3 linked regions of the Ovis aries genome follow. The protein of the gene in region 1 binds, or shares a complex with, the protein of each later gene. Links are inferred from orthologs where the notes say so. Each region holds a gene or a part of one and is shown on either strand. Other genes may lie near its edges. The genes, in order: EIF4E, EIF4EBP2 and EIF4G1.

The links.
Region 2: the proteins of EIF4E (region 1) and EIF4EBP2 are in contact, whole or in part, in a crystal structure (PDB 3AM7), measured with the Homo sapiens proteins. The link is inferred for Ovis aries from reciprocal best matches to the Homo sapiens genes EIF4E and EIF4EBP2. Residues at the interface, in NP_001959.1 of Homo sapiens: His37, Pro38, Leu39, Gln40, Val69, Trp73, Tyr76, Asn77, Leu131, Glu132, Leu135, Ile138, Gly139, Glu140, Ser141, Asp143, Asp144, Ser146, Asp147, Arg186; in NP_004087.1 of Homo sapiens: Pro47, Thr50, Arg51, Ile52, Ile53, Tyr54, Arg56, Phe58, Leu59, Leu60, Arg62, Arg63, Asn64.
Region 3: the proteins of EIF4E (region 1) and EIF4G1 are in contact, whole or in part, in a crystal structure (PDB 5T46), measured with the Homo sapiens proteins. The link is inferred for Ovis aries from reciprocal best matches to the Homo sapiens genes EIF4E and EIF4G1. Residues at the interface, in NP_001959.1 of Homo sapiens: Pro31, Tyr34, Lys36, His37, Pro38, Leu39, Gln40, Phe47, Lys49, Arg61, Leu62, Ile63, Ser64, Val69, Glu70, Trp73, Ala74, Leu75, Tyr76, Asn77, His78, Ile79, Gln80, Leu85, Tyr91, Glu132, Leu135, Ile138, Gly139, Glu140; in NP_937884.2 of Homo sapiens: Glu608, Lys609, Lys610, Arg611, Tyr612, Arg614, Phe616, Leu617, Leu618, Phe620, Gln621, Phe622, Ile623, Phe624, Ala625, Ser626, Met627, Gln628, Lys629, Pro630, Leu633, Pro634, Ile636, Asp638, Val639, Val640, Leu641.

The regions. Positions count from the first base shown.
Region 1 is NC_056059.1:26,238,742-26,248,754, reverse strand, and holds the start of EIF4E (eukaryotic translation initiation factor 4E), read right to left. Parts: upstream 6,696-10,013; 5' UTR 6,683-6,695; coding exon 6,665-6,682; intron 1-6,664. UniProt on the Homo sapiens protein: Acts in the cytoplasm to initiate and regulate protein synthesis and is required in the nucleus for export of a subset of mRNAs from the nucleus to the cytoplasm which promotes processes such as RNA capping, processing and splicing.
Region 2 is NC_056078.1:25,809,395-25,819,172, forward strand, and holds the start of EIF4EBP2 (eukaryotic translation initiation factor 4E-binding protein 2), read left to right. Parts: upstream 1-3,727; 5' UTR 3,728-4,019; coding exon 4,020-4,164; intron 4,165-9,778.
Region 3 is NC_056054.1:203,653,084-203,662,917, reverse strand, and holds the start of EIF4G1 (eukaryotic translation initiation factor 4 gamma 1), read left to right. Parts: upstream 1-3,723; 5' UTR 3,724-3,792; intron 3,793-4,612; 5' UTR 4,613-4,669; intron 4,670-4,890; 5' UTR 4,891-4,924; coding exon 4,925-4,984; intron 4,985-5,276; coding exon 5,277-5,363; intron 5,364-6,466; coding exon 6,467-6,643; intron 6,644-6,875; coding exon 6,876-6,975; intron 6,976-7,308; exon of another isoform or gene 7,309-7,375; intron 7,376-8,047; coding exon 8,048-8,160; intron 8,161-8,959; coding exon 8,960-9,052; intron 9,053-9,249; coding exon 9,250-9,316; intron 9,317-9,598; coding exon 9,599-9,834.

The sequences.
Region 1 (10,013 bases):
CCTTTGTAATCCTAAGTATTAATATTTTATTTAATACATTTAAAAACAATATTCTGATAATGAGGTCACAGACTCCAGCAGACTGCTAAAAGGATCCATCACCTTTAAGGAAAAAGTAATTAAAAAAGCTAAAATAACATTAACTACAAATCAAGATCCAAGGGTGATTTTACTAATACTGGTTGAGAATACAAGTTGTACAAGTTCAAAACAAAAAAATAAACTGTATCACTCATAATCCCATCATGCCACCACCCATACATCCTTTCAGATTTGATTTTATGTTTATTTGTGTGCGACCTATGAATCAATTCTATCATTAAGGTAGGAGTTTTTTCCTGAAGGTAAAGAGTTGGACTTCTGAGTGTTGGTTGAATTTTAGTTTGTTTTTTCTAAGTGTAGTAATAAAGCTTGTAGACAGAACCTGGGTTTGAGTTCCAGCACTCTCACTTAGGAACTATGTGACCCTTGCAGAAATTTTTTTTTTTTTTAGTTACTTGAAATGTGAATATCTCACCAATAAAAAGTATTTATCCACATATTAAAATTTTTTAAAACCTACAAGAAAAAGAAGTATTTCTTGCCTTAGTTAATACTTTAAGTTATCAGACTTTGTGGTTACATAAACTGTTATCCTAAGATGACCCATGGAAAACCCCGTAAGAATTTTTTATAACAATTTTTTAGTTCACATAAATATTAAATTCTTATTGACTGTAATAAGCACAGCATTTTACAGTAACAAGTTTAAAATACATAACTAAAGAAATTTTAGCTTTATAGATTACTGCAAAGAATTTGCTGCAAAGATTACTCAGAGAAATCTTAGCCATATTACTACCACCTCCCCCAAATACTTCAACTTTTAAGATGAGTAACATATTATAACTGAACCTTTTTCAAAACAACTGCTTAACTCTTTGCCAGACCTTTCACCAAAATTACTAAAAGTACAAAGTTAGCTGAGAACAGATTTCGTATTTGCAAATTAAAAAAAAATTTTACTATACTGTTTCAACTAGCAAAATATTTCACCTATCAAATCATTTGAATTGACAAGGTCCAGAAATCAAATCAGAAGGGGGAGAAGGGAAGAGATCATTCCCTTACTTTAGAAATCAACCCACAAAGTCAGTCCTAGACCATTTACTGAAGAATGAACAGTGTAACTAACTTGTTTAGTCCTCAGACTTTGGACACGTTGCTATTTCCTTAAGATTCTATACTTTGGATATCAGCAAACACTGTGGTACAACAGAAACTAAAAACAAACGTCCACATATTTTCTTTTAGAGCTGTAGCAAAATATTAAGTTTATCAAATTAATCATTCCAAGTCACACAAGGAACACGCATTATATGCCTGTTGGAAAGACAGTGTCACGTTTAACACACTCTGGAACTTGGCTGCTTTAGTTTGAACTCCACCCCACCACTTATTTAGCTGTGCGATCTTGGGGAAGTTAGTCACACAAAGTTACTTCATCTCTCCGTGCCTTGGTTTCCTTATCTGCGAAATAAGAATAATACCTACCTCATAAGGCTGCTAAAAAATTAAATGAATATACGTAAAGCACTTAGTAAGATGCCTGACATACAGTAAGTGCTGTGTTAACTATTAACCTATAAAGATTGCTTAAGTTAAAGTTCACTATTACAGACTATTATTTAAAAGAACATTTCTATTAAGTCAGTTGCTTAGAACTTTAAATCTGTAGCCCTGGAAATGCAAGGCTGGTTAGATCTGTTATAATTCCACAGACTCTTAGTGAACACAGTGAGCAAAAACTACAGCTTCCCACTGTTTCTATGAAAGATGTATCAAAAGCTCCAACTGGGGGGAAAAAAATCTTATTTTTCTGATCACATTCTCAGGTTCTAGAAGTAAGAGACTAGAAATGACTACATAGTACTTAAGAGACAAAAGTCATCTTTTTTCTCTAGACACATATAGGAACTTTTAAAGAGAACACTGCTGATTTTTACTGTAAAGAGAAGATACTGAATGGGTAATAAGTTTTGTATTTCTGAATAATGGCAAAGAAAAGAAAAATAAAGTCAGCTACGTGAATCTCGTAGCAGAGATGAAAAGGTAAGCATACCCATGCATGAATACACCTGCATGCAACACATCGACGGAATATTAACTTTATCTAGTTCTTCGTAACTGACAAATTGTCATCTCTGAGCATTGCATTTGAAAATCAAAATCACTATCGTATTCCCATTTTTCAGCTAGCCTTAGAAATTTCAAGGTCACATAGATATTAAAATTAGACTGTAAATTCAGGCTCATTTCCACTTCTCAAAAAATTCTCTATGACAAAGATGGAGCAACTCCAAAACAGCAAGAAAATTTCCAATAGAAGCAGAGAAGGAGAGGAAAAAATTACCATTGCTATAACTACTACTTCACAGGTTCCTTGTTACATCCAGGACTGTAGGTACTTCTATATTCTTAATCTTATATAAATTAAATAGAATACTTAACAAACATTTTTTGTGTGTGTAGAGTTTTCTATCCAAACTGGATTATGGTTACATAATTCATTAAACATCTTATTCTCTGCAACTTTGGAGTGCAAACTATGTCTGTTTCTAAGCTGGACTTCTCTAAATCAAATAATTAGGCATAATATTAATTCAGAGTAAAAAAACAAAGTAAAATGTAAAATATAAACACTAGAACCAAGTTTCTTTGACTGATGAATGAACTCTGATAACACTACGTTTTCTTAAAACAAAAACACCCATATTAATATGCAAGATCTGCTTGTCAATAGTCTTTGTTTAGCAAAAAACATCACCTTATATAACATATTTGCCACATGAATTTAAGATTTACTTTTTATAAACTCTCTGCAAAACATGTTTCTAAGGGATAAAAAGGAAACATTAGATTAGCTGACTGTCCAAGTGGATTCCACCTATGAAACAAAGGTATAGTTTAAAAAAATTGAAAAGATACAATGTAAAAGCAAGTAAAATTATATACCTTCAGTTTAACTAAAGAAATAAAAATATCTTATCTTTAAAAGAATTACAAGTCAAAAAACAACCCAATAATGAAGAAAACAGAATGAAGATAAAAGCTACCAAAACAATGTCCCACTGGAGGCAAGATGGCCTGCCATTTTTATCAACTGATATTAAATCTAACTTTGATCTACTCACAAGCTCTAATTCTGACCTGGCCACAATTCAAATGCCAACAGAGTAACAGGAGAGTATTGTTCAAAGTTTTACCACAGTACCTGTTAAGATAAATGGTTCCTTTAATTTGCCTATCAACCTTCTTAACAAATTTATTATCATTCAGTATCCTTTCGTGTGTCCCTGTGTTCTGTCGTGCTTTTGAACTGTGGTGTTGGAGAAGACTCTTGAGAGTCCCTTGGACTGCAAGGAGATCCAACCAGTCCTTTCTGAAGGAGATCAGCCCTGGGATTTCTTTGGAAGGAATGATGCTAAAGCTGAAACTCCAGTACTTTGGCCACCTCATGCAAAGAGTTGACTCATTGGAAAAGTCTCTGATGCTAGGAGGGATTGGGGGCAGAAGGGGACGACCGAGGATGACATAGCTGGATGGCATCACTGACTCGATGGATGGGAGTCTCAGTGAACTCCGGGAGTTGGTGATGGACAGGGAGGCCTGAGGTGCTGCGATTCATGGGCTGGCAAAGAGTCCAAAACGACTGAGCAACTGAACTGAACTGTGTTCTGTCCTGGGTGTTTTTTTTTTAAGTATAGTTGATTTACAAAGCTGTGCTAATTTGAGGTATACTGGCAAAGTTTTAAATCTATACACACATACATTTACCTTCTTTTTCGTTATAGTTATTACAAGGCACCGAATATAGTTCCCTGTGTTATAAAGCAGGTCCCTGTGCTCTATTTTATATATCATGGTGTGTTTCTGTTAATCCCAAATTTATCCCATCCTCCTCCCTTTCCCCTTTGGTAACCAAAAATTTGTTTTCTATGTCTGCGAGTCCATTCCTGTTTTGAAAGTAAGTTCATTTTTATCATGTTTTTTAGATTCATTAAGACACATCTTAATTTAACTGATCTCACATACACACACTTGATAATCACATAATATCAAATTGACAATGACTGATATTTTACATAACTTTCAGAGACAAAAATTCCCCAAATGCCAACCAAGGTGGGACAAGCAGGAAAAACCTATGAGTCTTTAGGTGCTTATGATTATGCCCAGCAAAAAAGGAATAAGGAAACTCACAAGCTAACTGAAATAGCAATGAATAAACACACTTTTTTGTAGGCTTTTACAGGGATACTTCAATTGCAACAAATACTATTCAGTTGCTTGAAAAAAAAAATCCCACTATTTAAAATTGCCAAAAAGAATTCTAAACGACTAATCTGTGGACAAGGGTACATTAAAAATACTAAAAACAAAACAAACAAACAAAAAACCGCATTTTTTACACTAAAAATGAACCCTTTAAAGTATTTTACAAGCATCCTCAAACTGCTATAGTTTCAATCTGGCTCTCGACTTTCACAAACCAGATTTTTATGTTCCCTACTCCCCAAATTTAAATGCAGTGTTCAAATCTCCCAAGGGTCAGCAACTAGAAGGAATACTATACTGTATCACTGACCAGGATCACTAGAAATTAAGCTTCTAAAAGTTTACACTGAACAAGGTATAGAATCCCATTTTGTATAATTTGTATCTTCAAGAGCACCTGGTACAAACTCCTAAACATATCAGGGGCTATAAATATTTACTGACTGAAAACACTCCTTCAACACTTTGTAGTTTTGCTCCCTGCTGTTGAAACAAAATAGCATAGATTTGCAAAACCCAAAGGACCTAAATAAATATTACTGAAACTTCAGAGAATACATTATTGTTTAGTTTAGAGGGTTTAGCCTTGCCCTTATTACCAGCTGTAAGCTTTTAACTGATGCTAGTACAGAGGGCAAAAGAGTTGTAAGTAATACCATAACCCATTAAAAGGTTTTAAGTTTAAGGTTTTACATATTTATCGTTTAGCTATTTAACATCAATGTTCTAAAAATCAGTTAATTGTATCAGCAACTTAAGAGTTTTGTAGTCAATCTAATTTCCAGGAAAATAAACGCATACTGGTACCAATAAAAGAAATAATCAAGCTTTCTGCCTTGAACTCTGGCAGGAAGCTCAAGATAGTTCACATCAATGTAATGAAAAATAAGCATTTTTGTATTCTACAGACCTTTCTATACCTCGTTTTCAAAGTAGTTATAGAAGTCTTTAAAGAGTCAAAGCAAATTGGGAAGCCATAATCAAAATCACAAACTATCATTAAAGATATACGAAAACATCTGGCAACGAAGGTCTGGAATTAGTTCCAGATATCAAAGGTTTTCTGGTGAATGTATTACGCCTCTAAATTATCACTTAGATGGCGACATTCCTAAAACGGCAACATAAGCCTGGAAGTTTTAGTGAGCCAGTGCAGGCAAAACCAAACTATGACAAAGATACTCTCTCCTTTGAGCGGTAACTTTGTGCTCTGGGATCAACTTGCTTCAGAGAAGTTTAAGATGGTACCTAAATTGGGAGGGAAACCAGTAGAACGGATAAAGAGAAAATCAAATGGAAAATTAACTCGAAAAGTTAAGTTTCTATTTCCAATAAACTGCTCTGTGATATCTTCCAGACGATAAAGACTCGGAAGAACAGACGGATCTAGACCCAGTCCCATTCTCTGAGGCGTGCGCACAGCGCGAAGATGAATGAATGGAAGACAGGCGCGTGTGAAATGCAGCCGGTCCGGCCGGCAACCAGACCGGCAGCAGCTCTCCGTAGGCCTCGCTCCTCCCCCTTCCCTCCTCCATGACAGCCCGGTCTCGAGCACGGAGGGGCGAGGACAATGTGGTCCCCCTTCTAACCACCCCCCAACTTTCATCCTCCTCTCAGAGGTTTACCGCGCAGCACGGGGTTCGCCTCCCCACTCCAAACCTTTCTCGCCTCCCCTGCCGCCAACCCCGGCAACTCTCCGACGCGCTGGAGTAACATGCGCTCGCCCCTCTCGGCTCCCCTCGGCGAGGTCGAAGCTTCTCCGCGCGTGCCGCGGCACCACTCCCGCCCAACCCACCTTCTGGCAACGCGAGCCCACCGGCCTCCCGGCCCACGGGTCTAATGAACCCCGGCACGCGCGCCGCACCCGAGTCCCTGGGCTAGAGAGAGGCTCGGGAGGGAGAGAGGGAAAGGCTGCCCCGGGGCGCCCTCCTCCATCTCATTCCAGGCCGGCTCGCCGCCCACCCTCCCTGCGGATCCCGACGCCTGCTCGGAGCCGGCTCCGCGCCCTCCTATCCCGAAAACACAATTCCCACAACCCTAGCCCAGGGCCCCGAACACCCTCCATCCTCGCGGCCCCCTCAAGGCTCCGCCGGAGGCGCCGCGCCGCCCCTCCCCCACTCCTCTCCCCGAGCTCTCGGGCCCCCACCAGAACGTGTGCTCCACACGCCGTAGCGGCCAACCTCCGGGGCGCCCCCAGTTGTCCGCGGGGAGGTCAGGCCCAAGAAGAGGGGGAGGGGGCGGCAAGGGGTAGCATGCGCGCCGGGAACGCCGTCCCGCGGGGTCCCCCAGTCCGAAGGGAGACCGAGCGCGGGGACCGGTGGGGGTGGGGGCCAAAGGCAATACTCACCGGTTCCACAGTCGCCATCTTAGATCGATCTGATCGCACAACCGCTCCTGAAGGGGGAGGGGGGGTGAGAGGAAAAAAAGGAGATTCAAACCGGATTGGCCGGCTACTGTTCACGTGACGGACGTATCCGTTTGGCCCTGGCGGCGCCTGCGCAAGACTGCGGCTGCGTGTTTAACGAGAGGCTTCTGGGAAGTGAAGTCTCTCACGCTCCCTCCTTTTTTTTTTTTTCTTTTAGGCAAAGAAGTTAAAAAAAAAAAAAAGAACTGTTCACGTGGTCGGTGGGTACGGTTCGCGGTTCTCGGAGCGGCGGACACTTGCGTTCTGCAGGGTGGTTTTCAGTCCTCTGGTCTTCCGCCTGGATAGATGCTGTCGCACTTACTGCCAGGCATGCCTACTGTGCCCTTTGTCGCCCTGTCCTCCCATCTTCCCCGGAAGGTTGAGAACCGAAGGCTCAGCACGCTCAATAAGGCTTCATTTGCTTAGTTGAGGTCCTAGGACGAGTTGCCTGTGTGTTTATTTAATTTTCTTTTGACTTCTCACCATTTTCTCTTAGTTTTAAAAAGAGTTGGTGATGGAGAATAGTTGTTTGAGCAACTATTATTCAACCCTCCCCGGTCCCTTGGCTCCGCTAACACTGGTGGTCACTCATTGCCATCACTGCGAAAAGGGGGTGGCGGAACCGCCCACAGTACCCACTTGCCACAGGTTGGGGGAGGGGGAATGCACCCAACAGCTTTTCCTGTTTCAACTCCTGAAATTAAGACTTCAGGGTTAAATCTTGAGTGGAAGTAAAAATGATTTGCAAGTTGTGTCCTCTCGCTTCCACTGTTCTGCTTTAACGTGAACGGAAACAGCCCAAGTCCAGGTGCCAGCCAGGGAAGCCACTCCGGCCCCCGCTGACTAAGCCCTGGACTGACCGTCAGGAGTCGTTAGGCTAGGTCAACTATGACTCTTGACGTTGACTCATTCTCGTTAGGCAAGCGACTTAGTCAGTGCCTCAGCTTTTTCATTTATGAACCACAGGTAATAATACACTTACCTCACAAGGGTTTGCTGTGCTAGTGATTGTAACCAGTTTTGAAGATGCATCGGACTCTATAAATGCTTCACTATAAGCAACCTCGTGTCTTCCTAAGGATCAGCGGCTTCCCTTAATGTTTTTTTTTTTTTAAACAATTAAAATTTTTTTCTTTTGTGTATTTTGTTTCATTATCGTATACACCAACGCAATTTTAAAGTTTCAAGACAAGACCCCCCCCCCCCACTTTTTAACTGTAGCTACCCTCCACAGAGACTTTAATGTTCAGGAAAATATTGTTATATTCACAATAATCACTGGCAATTAGAAATTCATCCCCACTATGGCATCCTACATTTCCTTTCCATGTAGGATACTGTGCTGTCATTTCTCAAGACAGTGTTACTCTGCACGGTTATAAATAGAGGTAAAGATATCTAGTAGAGTGCTACTCTAAGGTTTAATGATACTTTCCATGCTTTTTAAGAATGTTCACACCAGAAAAATAAGTAAAAGCAGGTTGCCTGTGCCTGCCTGCTTGCTGTGTTGCTGATGTTCTTAACTGTGTCATACCTATTATTGAGTACATAATGGTTGCTTGAGTTGACTAACACATAATTGAGGCTGTAATAAGAACTCAAAAACCATGGCCTGTTCATATGCTTTGGTTTACCTGGATGTCAGAGACAGTTAATGGAAGCTTCTGACCAGTCAGTTTAGCTTTAGTAGGTTTAAAGTAGAATTCTGAAAAAATAAATGGATAATATGGATTTCTATTTACAGACTATCTACTTTTAGCCTATGCAAAGTAATTACAGTCGATCTCAGTCTTACTTTCTGTTGTTTAAAATTAGTATCCTGTTACCCGCTCTGACTATATAGTATAGATGTATTATTTTCCCAGTGCTACAAGATAACAGAACAAAAGAGATTTAAAATTTAAAGAGATTTTAGTCCCCATGTGGGATTGAAAACCAGTGATGTTTTTAAAACTTGTGTTTAATGATAGCTTCCATTTTATTAGCTTTGCTCTTGATAAAACACACCTCACTTTTATCAGTCATCTTAGTGCTTCTACAATATATGTGTATATACTCCTATTCTTTGTAGCTAATTTCTATTTTGTATGAGCTTTGTTGCATGTGTTTTATGGCACATTCATATGTCTGCCTAATATTACCATCAGATTCTGCCATGTCGAAGACTTGGTGATTAGGTTTTTAATCTATGTATCTATATGGTTGTTTTGTTTTAGCAACCTGAAATACACAGAGCAGAAATTTTATACTTTATCTTTTAATCCACAGAAAAAGTACATTTTTGTGCTTGTACTTAAAGCATAATAACAGGATATTTATTATGGGATATGGTATTAAAATGCTTTTATAAAAAAAATACTTTTATACTTATTGGGGTTATATAATTAATACATAACTAATGACCCAGCACAGTATCATGGTGAAGTGAAGTGAAATTATTGTTTTAAAAGCCTGGAATAATTTGGTTATCATTTAACATCTGTAATTAGTCATGATCTTTTCTTTGCATAGTATATTCCTGAAGCTGATACATTACTAGTCTTTATAGATTTAACTCTTGGTAAAAAGACTTTAAATAATTTAATAAAATACATAATAAAAACCACATCATTTTTATCATGTATTTTGTCATTCAAATTTTATTTAGATTTTCTAGATAACCAAAGTCATTGTTTTACTGGGCACTGTTTAACTCTGGTTCAAACTAATCACATCTGCCATGATCAATCCCTCAAAAATATTACTGCAACACGGTCTAGAAATTTTTTTAAATAGGCCTTGGAATTTTAGACAATCTATTTAAATTAGATCCCTTTCTTAGACTCTGACTAGTACAAAGCAATCATTTGTCTTAAAATGAGTAGGTTTTGAGACTGAAGATATGAAATTCCATAATAAAGTAAATGATTCTTAATATTTTAATGTTGGGTATTAATTTTAGAGATAATCTAAATCAACCTCTAGTTAACACTTTTTAAAAAACCATTTCACTTTTTTTTTCACTTTTTTCACTCTCAAACTTGGTTATACTTGACAGTCTATTTTTTAAATTGCTATTGTCACTTTCTACAATGATATTACTTTAGGAAGGACCTAAAATGATGGCTTCTAACATGATGAATAATCTTTTAAATTACAATCAGTTTAGTATTTGTGAGCATGAGCTCCAATATCAAATTTTCTTGGTTCATAATCCTCATTCTACCATTTACTGTGTGACCATATGGAGATATCTGTCTCTTTCTGCCTCATTTTTTGTCATGAGTTAGATGGGGCAATAACAGTACTTACC
Region 2 (9,778 bases), on another chromosome or scaffold:
CAGTCACAGTTTCTTTATCTGTGAAATGTAAGAAGAATAATATAGATAATAATAATGAAAAGAATAATAAGTAGGCTGCCTCCATCACAGGGCTGTGGCTCAGCTTAAGTGAGATAATGGTCTGAAAGTGCTTGTTAAAGTGGAAAAGTGTTATCTAAAGATAAGGGGCTATTATCCCTATGATGATACAGATCGGGTGTGGGTGGCCTCAATACAGAGGGCGGGGGAAAAGAGCCTCCCTCTGCCCCAGGAAAGATGAAACCAGAGAGAAAGGTGGTAGCAGGTAGGTACAGGGGCGTTAAAAGGAATGAATCTGGGGAAGGCCTGCTAGCTAAACACTGGAATAATTGGCTACAGAAGGAGAACCCCTAATTTGGGGACACCCAGGTCACTTCTGTTATTTGAAACCAAGTTATATTAGTTAACATTAACATTTCCAAGAAAGGGCTCTCCAGATGTGGTATATATTGGACATTCTATCCTGGCAGTACATCAGGTATGGATCCAGAGGTCACAATTGCATCAGCAGCTTTCAAATCACCAACTATCTAACCTCATTCAGAGATAAGATTCTGCCCCCAATTCCAAAATTTTTTTCCCCCTCACCAACAGGCAATTCTCCAAGACCAACTGAGTACCCTGTACACTTGGGTCTTGTTTTGTTTTGTTTGTTTAGCTGTACCCCACAGCATGTGGGATCTTAGTTCCCCAACTAGGGATCATACCCCCACCCCTAGCATTGGGAGCATGGAGTCTTAACCACTAGACCACCAAGCAAGTCCCTATTTTTTTTACACTTGTTTTTTGTTTGGGTTGGTACCCTATAATTCAACTTAATTCTAACACTACCTGGAGATGGCATCAGATGCCACAGATTAAGGGCTCCCCGCCCCCCAGCTTGAGATGCCAATCTAAAGTCCCGGCTGTCATCTGTGTTTCTGACCAACCTTCTATAGATCAGCAGTTCCAGTTACCCACTCCTTGGATTTGATTAATTTGCTAGAGTGGCTCACAGAACTCAGAGAAACTTGCTATTTACTAGACCACTGGTTTACTATAAAAGGACATAGCTCAGACAGCCAGGTGTATAACTAGTGAGAAGCTGCTGTGAAACGCAGGGAACCCAGCCTGGCACTCTGTGGTGAACTAGAGGAGTGGAGGGAGATAGGAGGGAGGCTGAACAGGGACGGGGTGTATATAATCAGGACTGATTTGCATTGATGTATAGCAGAGACCACCACAGCATTGTAAAGCAAGTATCCTCCAATAAGAAAAAAAAAATACACTATTAAAAACAGAATAGCCAGATGGAAGAGATGTATAGGGCAAAGTATGAGGAAAGGAAGTGGAGCTTCCATGCTTTTTCTGGGCACGTCACTCTCCTCAAGTCTCCATACGTTCACCAACCTGGAAGCTCTTTGAGCCTCTCTCTGTGCATCGTTTTTAGATCTTTATGGAAGCTTCATTACACAGGCATAATTGATTAGCTCATTGGCCATTGGTGATTGAACTCACTCTCCAGCCCTTGCCCTCCCCAGAGGTCAGAGAGGTGACAATGAAAGTTCTAGTGCTCCAAATCACCTGGCTGGTTTCACTGGTGACCAGTTCTCCTTCTTGGGTGACCTAAGGGCATTTCAAAAGTCACATTGACATCACAAAAGACACCTAGATCACTCTCATCCCTCAGGAAGTCTTAATGGTCTTAGGAGCTCTGTGCTAGGAACAGGGACTGAGAACAAATACATATTTCCTAATATAAACCACAATATTCTTAATATAAGAGATAATACACAGCCTGTACAGTTGAGGCCGCCACCCAAGACCCTCCTAATTCCCCATGGTAGGTTCTGGGAAAGGGAACAACAGATATTTTCCCTTTAAATTCTTATCTGATAAACTGTGGTATATCCATAAATGGAACACTACTCAGCCACAAGAAGGAGTGGATTACTGATATTGCAACACAGTGTGCTATGTGAAGAAGCCAAGTGTAAAACAATACACACAGTGTGATTTCATTTCTATAAAGTTTTAGAACAGGCAAAACTAACCTGTAGCGATAGACAGCAGATCAGTGATTCTCTCAGGCTGAGGCTTGGGGTGTGAAGTGATGACTGTAAAGGGAACTTTTGAGTGTGAGGAAATGTCGCAGATTTTCCGTGTGGTGGTGTTTACAAGGATGTAAAATAAACATTTGTCAAAATTCGTGGACATGCACTTTTGAAAGAGGTACACATAACCCAGCTGATAAACACAACTTCTCAGCTGAAAAGGTCCCTCCATCGCCAAACTGCCCACAACTGTGTCTAATGTTTCTTTCTCAGTCTCCACAAAGACTTCTTAAGGTCAATTTAATACCGCAGACCACAGGCTGATTCTGAGCTAGGCTCCAAACTATGAGGGGAGGATGGGCCCAGTCCTTGCCTTTAAAGTAGTCAGTCTTGAAGGGAACCAGAGGCATAAGTAGATAACACTCATGCACAAGGTTGGTACCAGTGACATCAGTGTGCACAGGGCACTACGGGAGCTCCTAGGGCAAAGACCCGACTCTGACAGCACAAGGAAAGTCAAAGCAGGCCAACCCACATGCATGTGTGCTAAGCTGCTTCAGTCATGTGGGACTCTTTGCAACCCTATGGACTGTAGCTTGCCAGGCTCCTCTGCCCATGGGATTCTCCGCAAGAATACTGGAGTGGGTTGCCATGCCCTCCTCCAGGGGATCTTCCCGACTCCAGGATCAAACCCACATGTCTTATGTTTCTGCCATTGGCAGGCAGGCTCTTTACTATCGAGCCACCTGGAAAGCCCAGTGCCACCCACACCAAGTATTAAATAGCAGTCTGGGTTAGGTAGTGAAGGGAAGGTGGGGAGGAGAGCCCCCGTTGCTCCAAGCAGAACATTCACTCCACTGAGCCAGGGGGCCTCTGTCTTGTTTACTGCTATACCTTCTCCGCTAGAAAGTTCCTGACACACACAGTAGGTACTTATTAAAGATTTGTTGAATTAATGTATAATATAAGCAAAGACAGGACAATTCCCTGGTGGTCCACTGGTTAGGACTGGGTGCTTTCACTGCCCGGGTCCAAGTTCAGTCCCTGGTCGGGGAGCTAAGATATCATAAGACGTGTACCTGGACCAAACGAAAACAAAAACAAAGACAGGATCTGCAAACCATGGCCCACAGGACAAATCCAGCTGGTCACCCGTTTTTGTCAATAAAGTCTTACTGGATCCACGCGCATTTATTTACATGTTGTCGAAGGCTGCTTTCTCGCTAGAGCAACAAACGTTGAAAACTTGCCACAGAGACCATAAGGCCTGTAAAGCCTAAAGTATTTACTCTCCGACTTCTTATCGAAACAATTTGTTACCCTTTGAGCACGGTGGCACCATAAACCATTCTGATCGTCTTTTAATACATGCACACTTTCCTTTCATTTAATAATGAACAATTAAAAGTAAAATAACACTTTGCCTCGATATAGGAAACAGAAGTCAACTCAAATAGTGTTGACTGACAATAATAATAAAAATAAAAAGCCCACACAAGTTTTCCAAGCACACCTACGCCCACTTCACAAACACTTGGCGTAGGTTCAGTCCGGTTCGCGTCCCGCCCTCGGGGCATAAGCCCCGCCCCGCCAGCAGCCTTGCGGCTCAGGACCCGCCCTCGTGACGTCACGTCCGGCCGACCAGCTACCCCGACCTCCCTCTGGCTCCCGCCTTCGCCCGCTTCCGGTCGTCGTCGTCGTCGCCGCTGCTGCCGCTGCTCCTGCTGCTGAGGCTGCTGGCGGAGGCCGGAGGATAGGGCGGCGGCGGCGGCGGCGGCTGAGAGGGCGGCGGCGGGAGCGGAGCGGGACGAGGGAGCCAGAGGAAGCGAGCGAGGAGCGAGCGGAGCGCGCCTAGCCCCGCCCGCCCTTCAGCCCGCCTGAGCAGCTGGAGCAGCCCGGGCCCTCAGCCGCCGCCGCCGCCCGCCTGCCCGCCCGCCGGACAAAGCCCGAGAGCCCGCGCCCAGAGCCATGTCCTCGTCCGCCGGCAGCGGCCACCAGCCCAGCCAGAGCCGCGCCATCCCCACCCGCACCGTGCCCATCAGCGACGCCGCGCAGCTACCTCATGACTGTTGCACCACGCCCGGGGGGACGCTCTTCTCCACCACACCGGGAGGTGAGCGTCGGCGCCCGCGCGGCCCGAGCGCGCCCGCGCTAACCTCCGCGGTGTCCCCGCACTTTCCCGCCACGGTCCTTTAACTCAGGGCGTATCCACTCTGGGCCGCTCGGGCCACCCCGGCTCCACCAAAGTCCCTTTCTTGGGGCTTCCCCCGAAACCCGCTAGAGACTGCTTTCGAGAACCTTAACTTCGCGTTCTCTCTCCCGCAACTCTGTTTAGTGCGTGCCTACTCTGGGAACGTGGCTGGCTCTCCTCTCGTGAAAAAAAAAAAGCCCCTGTTCCCGCTTCGTGGCAGGTTTACGCACTCGACCCAGTTTTCTCCTTCCCCCGCCCCTACTCTAGGGCAAATTCGTCTACACTTGGCTTTGCACTCGCTCCGCATTCGCTCTGCCTCTTACGTATAGTGTCTTTGTGCACACTGAAGCTTGATTTTGGAGCTGTCTCCCGGCCTTTTTAGAAAGGAAGTTGGGGCGAGTAGTTTGCTCCTGGGACCCTGCGATGACTTGTTTTGCTGCTTCTAGAACTCCAGGAGGGGGGAGGCTGGAATGCGGAGTTTGGAAGCCTCGCCCAGTGTTATCCTGCTTTGACAGCATTGTTTACTTCGCTGGACGAGGCCCCACGGGTGGGGGGAGTCCCCAGGCTGGCTGAGAAGTGATAAAATCATGCTCAAGTAATAGCCCAGGGAAAGGAGCGCTGGCAGCCTTGAGGGTAGAGTTTTGGTGGCGACGCCTGTGGAGGTAGGTGGAAGACGGGACCCTCCCCGGCGGGACTGCTTCATCCGGGGGAAGGGGCCGTGCAGAACGGGGTCACTGAGCACTGCTTTTCAAAGTGCGACCAAGACTGTTTACAAGGAAGAACACTGGGGTAGAGGTAAAGAGCCTGGAATTAATTGGTCACGGGAAAAGGGAGCTCAAAGGTTGCCTGTCCCCTGACTGGGCTTTCTCCAGAGGGAGAAGACTGGAGAGCGATCTTGAGGGACCTCATGAGGGGAATGGTGCTTCGTTTTTAACTTGGTTACTTAGTTTTTTGATGGTGGCCTCTGGCTAGAGGGTTGGGACTTTGCTGGCAGCCCTTGCTGTCTACGGGATTGCTAGCTTGGTTCCTGTGGGCTGGGCTCACCAGTTGTGCTCCAACCAATCCCTTGCTGTTAGGCCTGGGCCATTTTTTAATCATTGCACAATATCAAGACGGTAGAGTAAGATCTTGCAAACAAGGAATAAGAAATCTGTGGAGAGAGCTCTACAGAGGAATCCACCCAGGCGACTCTAGGGGTGGCGTGGCTGCCTTGGAATACTTTCAAATGATCCAGGCTGGACACGTTCATTGATATATGTGGAGAACTGGGCTTAAGGAAGTTTTAACTTTGTGGAACAGTGGAGTTTCTAGTGAGGTGGCTTACCTCATTGGAGAAACCTCCCTCCTGACCTCATCGGGTCAAGGCCAGCCTCTGAGCACGCCTTTTAATCGTGAAAGATTTGGCAAACCAGGATCTGCTCTCCATAGGTTGTCTTGAACTTGAGCTGACAGCGTTTAAGAAATGGATATTGTTTTCCGAGGTGATGGAAAGAAATTTATAACTTCTTCCAGAATTCCTTGTGAATTCTGTAATGCCTGTGCTTCCAGCAGTTTAGAACCAATGTCATAGTAGCAGATAATTATTTGCGGAAGGAACTAAACTTTTAGCTGTATATTAATCATTATTCCTCTGAGGGAAAAACCTCAGGGGCACCTTTAGGCATATTTGAAACACCCAAGCTTCTATGGTTTTAAAGTAAGGGCATAGTCTTTAAGTGTGCCTTAAAGATACAAGCCTATCTGATAGTCTGAATTAGTTCCTACAGTGTTTGGGAAAGATTCTGCCGGAAATACTGAATCATTTATCCTTCCTCCCTACATACATAATCCTCATCTACTTTCTCAAATATCACTTACCCTGTCCCCAGATGGTTTCTGCTTTTTAATTGCAGATTTAAATACTTAAATCTTAGCTCCTCTGTTACACAGAGCTGTTATTTATTAGTAGAGCACATTGTGATCTTTAAATTTTTAACACAAAGACCTACCTAATATGTTTATAAGATATAGCACTGTTGTGGTTGGATTTAAACACTGTTTTATAGCAGTTACCTCAGTGCCACCTAGATATGCAGTACTTACTGGTTTAATTCCCCCTCCCTTTGGAAAATTTCCAATTTTCTGATGATTTGTTCATTTCTTTTGTTACATTTCCCTCTCTTCTATGTAATTTTCTTTCCCTGAATCATGGTTATTGGTCACCTTTAGGCACCTGAATTGATGTGGTTAGGTATGTATCTTCAGTGAGTTATGTGGGTCCAGGGCAGTGCTTTGCACAAAAGGGGACCACAGACAAAAGTAGGAAATGCAATCTTCACTCAGTGGTCTTAAAATCTTGGTGGTAGAAAAGCTTTTTAGTTCTGAAATGAAAAGCTTATAGAGCCAAGTGCTAAGTTACATATTTCAGACTTGGAAAACATTTAGAAAGTGATAGTAGGCTTGCATTGGAAATCTCTATTTAGTAGGAAGGAAGGGGATTAGAATTTCCTGTCTCAAGCTTCTAGCGTGTCATACACAGGTCAGAGCATTCTAGATAACCGCTGATGTGCTGAATGCCCCGTATGATCAGACTGGGCAGAGACATTGACAACATGATGAACTTGCCATCTCCCCACAGAGGATACAGCTTACCCTTGAAAAGACTTCTCAAAATTGCCTTCTGTGGTTGGAAAATGAGAGTTGGGAAATGAAAACTTTCTGTAACCTCTTACATTTCCCATGTTTTTAGAAGCATACCCTTTTCTCATTATTAAGGAAGAACAAAATTTTTGACCAAGTTCAAAGCAAAACGCCCTTGGGTTTTTATTTTGTTTTGTTTTATCTGCCTTTGGAGGAATAGGGATGACATTTGGCTCATCCTTTGAGAAGCTGCTTCTAGCCTCAATGAAAGGTAAAGTTATTACAGTCTGCTTCACTTTTGTAACAGTCTGGTTAGCTGGAAAGGACCTAATGCTTTCCTTCTATAATTGAGAGAAATTGAGTAACTTGTTAGTGTCATACAGCTAATTAATGTCAGTTGGTAGTCTCAAACTTAGTGTCCTCATTCCTATTCCAGGTTTTTTCTCTGCTGTCTTAAGATGCACATTTTCCTAGGAAAGGAAGTTTGCAAACATTTAAGAAGGCTCTTCTACCTCTGGAATGCCAGATAATGTGATACTTTTTGCTACCTTATTATTTATTTATTTTTTAAATGAGTTTCAAACTGTCTCCTTGTTGAGAGGGTTGTGCTCTGGGGAATGAACAAAGAGACCTCTTTGAGCCTTTCTTCTTGCCTTACTTTTCCTGCCTAACATCCTCCTCAGCTGTGGGAAAGTATGCTGTTGCCTTAACGAGCGCCAGAGGGAACTGTTAGTCTGAAATCTTGTTCACACCCTTGCGCATCCTGTCTGCCAGCTGAAGAGTTGGCTCTAATTGGTTGGTTCCCTGAAGGCCATTGGAAGGGTCTGGGGATAAAGGAGAAGACAGGAAGAAAGGAAAGGAATCCACTTGGTGTGAGCCATAATAAAGTAAGAGTATTTGGGGAGAGTCCTGAGTGTTAATCTAGTTCCTTGGTTGGGAGAAGTGAATAGAGCTCTGTAGATATGGGGAAGGAAGGCCAGTTTCTCACTGTTATAAAGTTTCTAATACAGTGACCTGAGTTTATTCTAGCCAAAAATTTCTGAACCAGCAAATGTACTTGTTTGGCTCTGTAGTTTCAGTTTTTAACTGAAGTGCATGAAAAACGTGTTGAAAGTTGTTCAGTCACTTTGCTTTGTGTTCAAGGAAGATGGCATTTACTTACCTCAGAGTAACAAAAATTAACATGTGTTGTCATTCCAGAGGAGATTTGGCTTTAGTCTCATATTCATCAGCCACCAAAGTGTGTACCAGAAGATGTAGCTCAGTTTTGCGGTGGGTGCACATTTGTGCTGGGTTCGTGTTTGCCGATGAGAGGTTGCCCGGGAAGGCAGCAGCCCTCGGCTGCAGGGTGGGCAGCAGTGTATTGTGTGGAGCAGAGCGCCTCTGCCTGCTCCAGGTGAGACACAACCTGATGAGGGAAGACGGAGCTCACCCAGGCTGGTAGTGCGCAACTCCCTTCTGCTCTCCCAAGGCCTACGGGTGAAACGTGCATCTGTAAGCTGGCACTGCTAGCGTTCTGCAAGGACTTTTTGAGGACTGATGTCTTAAAAATGATTTTATGGGAGGGGTCTTGCATGGTTTGGAGACAACTGTAGGCTTGACTACGTGTGTGTGTGTGTAAAGATCATGTCCTTTCAATTTTTTGATATTCTGTCTTGAGTAAAATTCAGGCTTCGTGGATTTGTATGGACAAAAAATATTTTGGTATGTGGACATGTCATAATCAATAACTAAGGACTGTCAGATTTTCTGTTTTTATATGGACTCAGCCAAAATAATTTTGGGAACTCAAATAGCTACAGTAATGAATATCAGAGATTCTTCACCGCCAATCAGCAGTAAAGACTGTGATGTGATGAAAAAAAGTAAGATTTGCTGATAAGATAGGGTAAAGTTAACGTGGGAAAACTAGTTCACCTGGTTGGAAAGAAGAAAGCAATTGGATAATTGCTTTACAGAATTTTGTTGTTTTCTGTCAAACCTCAGCATGAATCAGCCATAGGTATACATATATCCCTTCCCTTTTGAAGCTCCCTCCCATCTCCCGCCCCATCCCACCCCTCTAGGTTGATAGAGCCCCTGTTTGAGTTTCCTGAGCCTTACAGCAAATTCTTGTGGGCTATCTATTTTACATATGGTAATGTAAGTTTTCGTGTTACTCTTCCCATATAGCTCATCCTCTCCTCCCCTCTCCACATGACTAGAAGTCTATTCTCTGTGTCTGTTTCTCCATTGCTGCCCTGAAAAATTCTTGAGTACCATTTTTCTAGATTCCGTGTATGTGCGTTAGAATACGATATTTCTGTTTCTGACTTAACGTCACTCTGTATAATAGGTTCTAGGTTCATCCACCTCATCAGAACTGACTCAAACGGGTTCCATTTTATGGCTGAGTAGGACGGGGGAGCCTGGTGGGCTGCCGTCTATGGGGTCGCACAGAGTCGGACACGACTGAAGTGACTTAGCAATGTTTCCATTGTGTGTATGTACCACAACTGCTTTATCCATTCATCTGTCGATGGACATCTAGGTTGCTTCCATGTTCTGGCTATTGTAACTAGTGCTGCAGTGAACAATGGGATACATGTGTCTTTTTCAATTTTGGTTTCCTCAGTTACATGCCTGGGAGTGGGATTGCTGGGTCATATGGTGGTTTTATTCCTAGTTTTTTAAGGAGTCTCCATACTATCTTCCATAGTGGCTGTATCAATTTACATTCCCACCAACAGTGCAAGAGCGTTCCCTTTTCTCCACATCCTCTCTAGCATTTTTTGTTTGTAGACTTTTTGATGATGGCCATTCTGACCTGTGTGAGGTGATACCTCATTGTGGTTTTGATTCGCATTTCTCTAGTAATCAGCAATGTTGAGCATCTTTTCATGTTTGTTAGCCATCTGTAAGTCTTTGGAGAAACGTC
Region 3 (9,834 bases), on another chromosome or scaffold:
TTTTTAAAAAAATTTTTACTGTGTTTTTGGATGTTTGTATAAAGAATATTGAGAAGGGATCTATCATTGTTGACTTTTTAAATACTCTTTAAATTAAATTTATTTTTAATTTAAGGATAATTGCTTTACAGCATTGTGTTGATTTCTACCAAAAATCATGTTTCGTTTTGTTGGCTGTGAGGTACGGGGGAATCTTAGCTCCCCAACCAGGAAAGAACCCACACCCCTTGCACGGGAAGGTGAAGTCTTAACCACGGGACCACCAGGGAAGTCCCCTGCCTGAAGTTTCAGAGTGATTTCTGAGCTAAGAAGGAATCGTCATGTAAGCAGTAATTGATTTTTATTTATTAGTTTTCGTAGAAAGAGAAATGAGAACAGAGAAGGGAGGCAGCCATATACCATAATGTACAGAACTCCAAGAATGTAACAGAGAACAGCTATATGTACATTTTCATTCTCCTTATGGTTCTTCCTGTGTGTCTATTTTTGCTCTTCTCTCTTTGGAGCTTAAGTTACTCTGATACAGTTCAGTTCAGTTCACTTAAGTTGCTCAGTAGTGTCCGATTCTTTGCGACACCATGAACTGCAGCACGCCAGGCCTCCCTGTCCATCACCAACTCCCGGAGTTCACTCAGACTCATGACCATCAAGTCGGTGATGCCATCCAGCCATCTCATCCTCTGTCATCCCGTTCTCCTCCTGCCCCCAATCCCTCCCAGCATCAGAGTCTTTTCCAATGAGTTAACTCTTCGCATCAGGTGGCCAAAGTACTGGAGTTTCAGCTTTAGCATCATTCCTTCCAAAGAAATGCCAGGGCTGACCTCCTTCAGAATGGACTGGTTAGATCTCCTTGCAGTCCAAGGGAGTCTCAAGAGTCTTTTTCAACACCACAGTTCAAAAGCGTCAATTCTTTGGTGCTCAGCTTTTTCACAGTCCAACTCTCACATCCATACATGACTACTGGAAAAACCATAGCCTTGACTAGATGGACCTTTGTTGGCAAAGTAATGTCTCTGCTTTTGAATATGCTATCTAGGTTGGTCATAACTTTCCTTCCAAGGAGTAAGCGTCTTTTAATTTCATGGCTGCAATCACCATCTGCAGTGATTTTGGTGCCCCAAAAAATAAAGTCTGACACTGTTTCCACTGCTTCCCCATCTATTTCCCACAAAGTGATGGGACCAGATGCCATGATCTTCATTCTCTGACTGTTGAGCTTTAAGCCAACTTTTTCACTCTCCTCTTTCACTTTCATCAAGAGGCTTTTTAGTTCCTCTTCACTTTCTGCCATAAGGGTGGTGTCATCTGCATATCTGAGGTGATTGATATTTCTCCCAGCAATCTTGATTCCAGCTTGTGCTTCTTCCAGCCCAGCGTTTCTCATGATGTACTCTGCATAGAAGTTAAATAAGCAGGGTGACAATATACAGCCTTGACGTACTCCTTTTCCTATTTGGAACCAGGCTGTTGTTCCATGTCCAGTTCTAACTGTTGCTTCCTGACCTGCATACAAGTTTCTCAAGAGGCAGGTCACATGGTCTGGTATTCCCATCTCTCTCAGAATTTTCCACAGTTTATTGTGATCCACACAGTCAAAGGCTTTGGCATAGTCAATAAAGTAGAAATAGATATTTTTCTGGAATTCTCTTGCTTTCTCAATGATCCAGCAGATGTTGGCAATTTGATCTCTGGTTCCTCTGCCTTTTCTAAAACCAGCTGGAACATCTGGAATTTCATGGTTCATGTATTGCTGAAGCCTGGCTTGGAGAATTTTGAGCATTACTTTACTAGCGTGTGAGATGAGTACAATTGTGCAGTAGTTTGAGCATTCTTTGGCATTGCCTTTCTTTGGGATTGGAATGAAAACTGACCTTTTCCAGTCTTGTGGCCATTGCTGAGTTTTCCAAATTTGCTGGCATATTGAGTGCAGCACTTTCACAGCATCATTCAGGATTTGAAATAGCTCAACTGGAATTCCATCACCTCCACTAGCTTTGTTTTTAGTGATGCTTTCTAAGGCCCACTTGACTTCACATTCCAGGATGTCTGGCTCTAGGTGAGTGATCACACCATTGTCATCTGGGTCATGAAGATCTTTTTTGTACAGTTCTTCTGTGTATTCTTGCCACCTCTTCTTAATATCTTCTGCTTCTGTTAGGTCCATACCATTTCTGTCCTTTATCGGGCCCATCTTTGCATGAAATGTTCTCTTGGTATCTCTAATTTTCTTGAAGAGATCTCTAGTCTTTTCCATTCTATTGTTTTCCTCAATGCAATTTCTTTGCATTGATCATTGAGGAAGGCTTTCTTATCTCTCCTTGCTATTCTTTGGAACTCTGCATTCAGATGCTTATATCCTTTCTTTTCTCTTTTGCTTTTCACTTCTCTTCTTTTCACAGCTATTTGTAAGGCCTCCTCAGACAGTCACTTTGCTTTTTTGCATTTATTTTCCAATGGGGATAATAATACAATGCATAGTAATACAATACATTTTGTAGGCTATTGTGAAGATTAACTGAAATCAGAAAGGTCATCATTGGTGCAACATGTTTTCTGAGATTATATGTGTTTGAATACAAAGAGTTGGGTGGGAAGGAGAGAGAGAAAATAGCTTTTGCTAGGTACCTAGGCACAGTTTTAAGCACTTTCACAAGAACTAACTTTTTTAAACCTCACAATCCAATAGCGGGAAAGCAGGGTGGGTAAAAGCTCAGAATTGAGGCAGACTGCATAGTTTCAAATACTCCCATTTTACAACAAGTATTAAGTAGGGAGGTAGTAGGTACATCGCTGGGAGAGTAAGCAGAGAAATTTGGATTAAAACCAGGCTGACTCTAAGCAGTTTTGTCTTTAGTATGTCCCTTCAGGCAGTTCAAAATTTTTTGGCTGCCAGGGAGAGGTCTTGGATTTACTTATCCCATCACTATTTGAACTTTCCATGACTGATTTTAGTCCCTCCCTGGGAGTGGCTGATCTTTGTAAAAGACAAATCTAACTCCCTACTTGCTGCTGCTGCTAAGTCGCTTCAGTGTCCGACTCTGTGCGACCCCATAGATGGCAGCCCACCAGGCTCCCCTGTCCCTGGGATTCTCCAGGCAAGAGTACTGGAGTGAGTTGCCATTTCCTTCTCCAATGCATGAAAGTGAAAAGTCAAAGTGAAGTCGCTCAGTCGTGTCTGACTCTTCGCGACCCCATGGACTGCAGCCAACCAGGCTCCTCCGTCCATGGGATTTTTCAGGCAAGAGTACTGAAGTGGGGTGCCATTGCCTTACTCCCTACTTAGAATATTTCAATTCTTTTAGCGTTATCACCCAGTTTAATAGTTCTATATCTAATTTACATTATTTTCAAAGGCTACCTAATTTGTCTTTTTTTCCGTTTTTGTCCATGGTTTACTTGGCGGGACCGAGTCTTTAATGTCAGTATTCTCAACCCTCAGCCAGCACTTCGCCTAGCACTCAGTATGCACTCAATAAATGCTTGCTCAAAGTATGAATGAACCAAAGAATCGCGGAACACAGACGCGGAGACGGGTCGGCCTGGGAGTTCCAAAGTTCGGGAGGGGACAAGAGGCGGGCAGTGGCTGTCACATGATAAGGCGGGGCAAATCCCATGTGCTCCGCGGCGCCGGGCGCTGCTCCGCCCTCTGCGCCGGTCACGTGGGGCTGCCGGCTGCGCCTGCGGAGAAGCGGTGGCCGCCGAGCGGGATCCGTGCGGGGAGCCGGAAATGGTTGTGGACTACGTCTGTGCGGCTGCGTGGGGCTCGGCCGCGCGGACTGAAGGAGACTGAAGGTAAAGCCGCCATGTCCGGGCCCGACCCGGCCCCCCCACCCCCTCCCCCCGCATCCGCCGCCATCCGGGCCGGGATCGGCTACCCTGCGCCGCCGCCCCAGCGCCCTGGCCCCGCGGCCCAAGCCCGGGCCCCGGCCCGCCAGGGCCCGATCCCCGGCCCACGTGTGCCCGGCCTGGCTCGGCCTGGCTGCTGGGTGGGGGTGGGGGAGCGCGGGGCCGGAATATGCGGTCCCCGCAGGCCGGGAGGGCGCCGGGTTTCCCGGCCGCTAAGTGCCACCTCGGCCCGACCCGAGGAGGCCTCGCGGGCGCAGGCACCGCGGCTCCCGGCCCGCCGCCCCCTCCCCCCTTTGCGGCCCGGCCGCCGGGAAGTGACACGTTGTTCTTTGGCACTGGCCGGCGCTGCGCAGGGAGGGCGCAGGGGAGGGAGGCGGCGGCGGCGGGCAGGGAGGAGCCCCCGGCCCCGCCCGCCCTCCGGGCCGACCCTCACTTGCTTCAGACCGGCTCTTCTTCGGCCGCCGCCCGCCTGGCCTTTTACGGCCCGACTGCCGCCTTTCCTGGCCTCCACTGCCGGGCGGCGGCAGGCCTCGCCTCTGGCCCCGCGTGGGTGCCTCCGCTGCTACCCACGGCAGGCGTGCCTCGTGTGCCCCTGGGCCAGGCCCCGAACCCGGTGTCCCCGGGTGGGGGGTGGGGACACCACGGCCGAAGCTGCTAGCTCCGTTTGTGATCCGGGAGCCTGGTGCCAGCGAGACCTGGAATTTCCGGTCTGGTTGGTCTTGGGCCCCGCGGAGCCAGGTTGATACCCCTCACCTCCCAACCCCAGGCCCTCGGATGCCCAGAACCTGTAGGCCGCACCGTGGATTTGTTCTTAACCGAGGGGGTGAGTGAAGGGCTGTTTCAGCAGATCGAGGGGTGGTTGGAGGTGGTGAGGGTTTGACGGAGTGTTGGTGGGGACATAAGCTGGGTCTTTAATGTTCCTTTACCCCCTTGGCGCCTCCCGGGCTCATTGTGGGACCCAGCCCTTGCTTCAACCCCTCCCCCACTCCATTTGCCTTAAGTTTGTGTCCCTTTCCTTTTCTGAGCCTCACTCTTTCCCAACAGGTGCTGGGGGGACCCTGATGTGGCACCAAATGAAATGAACAAAGCTCCACAGCCCACAGGCCCCCCACCTGCCCCATCCCCTGGACTCCCACAGGTAATTAGGGAGGAATTAACAGGGACTGGGGTGGGGGTTGGGGAGACCAGGCAGCCGGGTCAGGAACAGGTTCCAACCTCTGGATTTTCCCACCCCCTTCTGTGTCAGGGCAAAGTGCAGCTTCCTGCTGCCAAATTGAGACAGGGCCCCCAGGCTGTTCCCAGGGGCTGTCTTGGGGAGGGTATATGTGGACTGTTGAGGCTCTTGCCACGGATCTGCTCCCCTTCATCAGCTTGAGTTTCTGCACCACCTGGGTTTCCCCTCTTGCTGAAATCTGGTCTCCCCCCTTCAGCCAGCGTTTCCCCCGGGGCAGACAGCACCGGTGGTGTTCAGTACGCCTCAAGCGACACAAATGAACACGCCTTCTCAGCCCCGCCAGGTGAGGGGCTGTGGGGAGGGGAGTAGGGGGCCTGGGTGGGAGCCATGTAAAGCTTAGGCCAGTTTGGGCCTAGGATGGAAACTCTGGAGGCCCTGTACCTGCCCCAGTTTCCTGACAGTTGCTATGTGTTCTTTCATGCGGCTCTGCACTTTGCACTGTTGATTACTCACGGTGGCTGGCCCCTCGGAGAGTATGTTGTTGGTGGGGATGGCATTGCTAGGGGTTCTGGTGCCTTGAGAACTGGGGGCAGCGCTTTGGGCCCTGCTGCCAACTCCTGCTTTCCTATTTCCTCCTTTTACTAGGAGGTCGCCATTGCTCCGTTCCTCATCCCTTCTTTCTCTTTGGACTGTGGGAAGAGAAACATTCCAGCTGGTTCTTACCTTTCTCTATTCCTAAATTCTTCCTCACTAAATGGGAGCGGATTCTTGTCCTGCCTCCTCATTTTTTTCCCCCTCATCACCTTGGGGATAATTCTCTTCTTTCCTGTCCCCATGTGCTCTCAGGGAGGATTCAGGTCTCTGCAGGTAATACCCCTTTGCTAATCCTGGACTCTCTCCTGGTCTCACCCTTACCCTCCTCCCTAGTCAGGGGCTAGACGCAGGGACTGGGGTTCCTCAGGGTGGGGACTTGTTGGTTGTCCAGGTCCTCAGTCTGAGGCTGACCAGTGCATGTTAGGGGCTAAATCTTGCATAGTGCCTATCTGGGAACTGGGAAAGTTGCATGTTAGCGGTTAGCTCCTCAGGACGTTAGGATGGTGCAGTGCATGCTGGGGAGTATGCTGCTGAAAAAGGCTTTACTTAGGCATGATGCATCTGGGTGTTAGGAAGCCTCTGCTAAAGGATAGCGTGGAGGAGGTGACATGAGTATGCATGGCAGGGAGGGAGTAAATATACCGAGTGCAAAGTGTGTACCTGAGTTTGGAGGGCACACGTGAGTTCAAGAGGCCACTTAACCATCAGTTGGTCAAGTGAGTCTTGGCAGTGTTGGTCCCATGTTCCAAAGCCCCTGGTACTTCTCTCCAGACTAGAGACATAGTGGAATGGCCATTTTGCTGTCCACTTCCTCCCCTGCCCAGTGCCAACTGCCTTCCTCCCTCCTGACAGCACTTCTACCCTAGCCGGGCCCAGCCCCCGAGCAGTGCAGCCTCCCGAGTGCAGAGTGCAGCCCCTGCCCGCCCTGGCCCAGCTGCCCATGTCTACCCTGCTGGATCCCAAGTAATGATGATCCCTTCCCAGATCTCCTACCCAGCCTCCCAGGGGGCCTACTACATCCCTGGACAGGTGAGGCTGGAGGCTTGGGTACTGAAGCCACACAACCTTGTCCCCGCTCCCCCACCTCCCCCAACCCGGATCCTCCAGTCCCATCTCTCCTCTAGAGGTGGGACTTTCTTCTGGTCATTGCCCAGAGTTGGCTTGTCCTGTCTTGCCCTGCATTCTCTTTGTAGTCTGATGTGGTATTCATAGCTCCCTCAACTCCTTCTCTCCCCTCCTTATCCCCCATCCCCTCCATCAGGGCCGTTCCACATATGTTGTCCCGACACAGCAGTATCCTGTGCAGCCGGGAGCCCCAAGCTTCTACCCAGGTGCAAGCCCTACAGAGTTTGGGACCTACGGTAAGCGGGGTCTGAAGTCGGAGAGTGAGTCCCAGGGAGCATTTAAACTTGCCTAATTTCTAGGACCCTTCCCAGGCCTGTCTCTTGCTCTAAAAATGATAGCGGTAGTCAGGATTGGTGCTTAATATGTAACTGGTATTGGGGGGTGGTGGGGAGAGGATTTTACACTATTGTTGAGAGTTGTAGAATCCTCCCCACATCAAGGAATATAGTTCAGGTGCTAGTTTGAGGACCTGTCAGTAAATATTCCCTGACACTTGTTCCATGGTTGGGGGGAGCCCATGTAACATGGATTTGGGAGGTTTCTGTAGCTGTTTTTCATTTATATTCTAGGAAAGGATTAGTCTGTTCTTTATGGCAGTGGTTTCCAAAATTTTTTGACCATCAGGAAAAATTTTGAGTATGTACTTCTAATACGTGTATGTTTTTGTTTGTTATACGTATGCATAATTTAAACAAATAACAATGTTGCTTGTCAAAAACAAGTGGAGGTTATGGATGATATTAAAGAATGTATCCCATTTTGGAGACCATTGCTTTAAGGAATTTTCCTCATCCTGGGCCTGGTTCATAATGTTACTTTTTGTTTCCTTGCCCCTTAGCAGAGGGCTGGAGACTGGAATTGGACTCAGGTTGAATGGAACAGGGTTGGCAAATCTGTTTTTATCATTCCCAGCCAAAGACCTGATTCTGTTTCAGGTTAAGTAGTTGCTGCTCTCTAAGAGTATATGTGTGTGTTTGCTGGGGGTGGGATGCATCCATGTTACCTTACGGGGTAGAAGAGGAACAGACATAGTAGCTGGTGTGTGGTGGGGAAGGAGTGCCTGCCTACAAGGGGTGTGTGTGTCAGTGTTAGGAATTCTTGTAAACGCAGTTCAGACTGGTTCCCCAGCTTTGACAGACACCTAATTCCCTTGGGGAGGAGGAGGGTGGGGCAGGGTAAGGGGCCGGCTATGGGTGATGAGAGGTTCTCCGGGGGCTGGGAGGCATTTGTGCTCAAGCAGGCATTTGTATGTGGTTGGGCCCTGACCCTGCCACTATTCTTCCTTTCCTTGTCCCCCCCTCCCCCAAGCTGGCGCTTACTACCCAGCGCAGGGTGTGCAGCAGTTTCCCACTGGTGTGGCTCCCCCACCTGTTCTGATGAACCAGCCACCCCAGATTGCTCCCAAGAGGGAGCGGAAGACGGTGAGTAGCAGCAAGGGGTTGTAGGACAGCTGGGAAAGCAAGGATCAAGGTCAGGCACTTTGTGGGTCAGGGAGCAGGAAGTTGAGGGAGATCTTCACCTGAGAGTAGGCAGAGAATGGGGATGTGCGAAATGCTCAGGTTGTTCTTAAGGTACTACGATTTCAGTATGGAAGAAGCTCACTAGAAGATTGAAGTGTCTGGTAGGGAAATTCTTGAGAGACCTGGGTTCTCTGTCCATAATATCTAAGTTTGGTTTTGGGTTTCTGGTGGCTTGCCTTGAAAATGGTTTGTTTTCTGTGTCCCCACCCCCCAGTCCTGGAAGCTCTTGAGGCCTCCGCCCCTGCTCAGTCCTCAAGCCCTGGGCGTGGTGCCCAGAATAGGGTGCCAGGGCTGGGGAAGCCGCTGAGTCACCCTGGCTCCACCCACTGGATCTGGGCCCTGCCCCCAGAGATCAGGCAGACTAGCCACAAGTGAGCCGGATGGGTGCTAGATGGGGGTCCTGGGCCCCCAGGCATGCAGCCACTTCTTGGGGACTGGTGGGGCAGGGATAAGGGAGGGAGGGGCATTGTGATGTACGTGTCTGCTCTGTGAGGTCAAGAGTGTCTTAGGGGTGGGGGCCAGGGCAGAGACTACAAGAGCTGCCGGATGGGTTGACAGTAGAACTCACAGGGTTTCTGGCACCCACCCACCTGCTTCCCAGTAGGGGGTGGGGGGGTTGGCTTGGAGTCTCAGGAGCGGGGCAGGGTGGAGAGGTGGGCTGCTCCTGTTTCCCACTTATCCCGTAGCTTTTTTTCCCCAGATCCGAATTCGAGACCCAAACCAAGGAGGGAAGGATATCACGGAGGAGATCATGTCTGGGGCCCGCACTGCCTCCACACCCACCCCTCCCCAGGTACTGTCTGTCCTTTGAGTGATGCCCTGACTGGGATGGCTGTTCTTCCCTGGATTCCCAGGTCCCTTGATCTTTTTCTTCAAATAAGGGATTTATTTCCCTGCTTTCCTGGATTTCTAGGCAGCTAAAGTAGAAATGGCTGTAGCAGGGTTGTGGGACTCTTCAGGGCAAACTTGGTAACCCTTTGTGTTCTGCAGACGGGAGGTGGTCTGGAGCCTCAGGCTAATGGGGAGACACCCCAGGTTGCTGTCGTCGTCCGGCCAGGTAAGTAAGCAGGTGGGGCCTGGCTCTTATGGGGAAAAGGAGTGTTGAAAATGCCAAGGAAGTAGAGTGACTTGAACTGGGTGTCAGAGAAGAATGACTTAGGTCTCAAGTATAGTAGTATTTAAGGGCAGATTGGATTTTGAGTGGGAATGAAAAAGACCTAGGGGGAGAAGACTGGTATGTGTAGGAGGGGCTATTAGGTTGGGAATGCTTGGCTGGGAGGAGGAACAACAATCACAGGGAAGGGCTTGCCTCTGATTACCTGTTCTTCCTATGGTGCAGATGACCGGTCGCAGGGAGCAGTCAGTGGGGAGCGGCCAGGGCTGCCTGGCCCGGAGCACAGCCCTTCAGAATCCCAGCCTTCGTCACCTTCTCCGACCCCGTCACCACCCCCAGTCTTGGAACCGGGGTCTGAGCATAATCTCGCAGTCCTCTCTGTTCCTGGGGACACAATGACAACAGGGATGATACAGACCTCTGTAGAAGAATCAACCCCCACGCCCCCTGAAAGTGGGGAG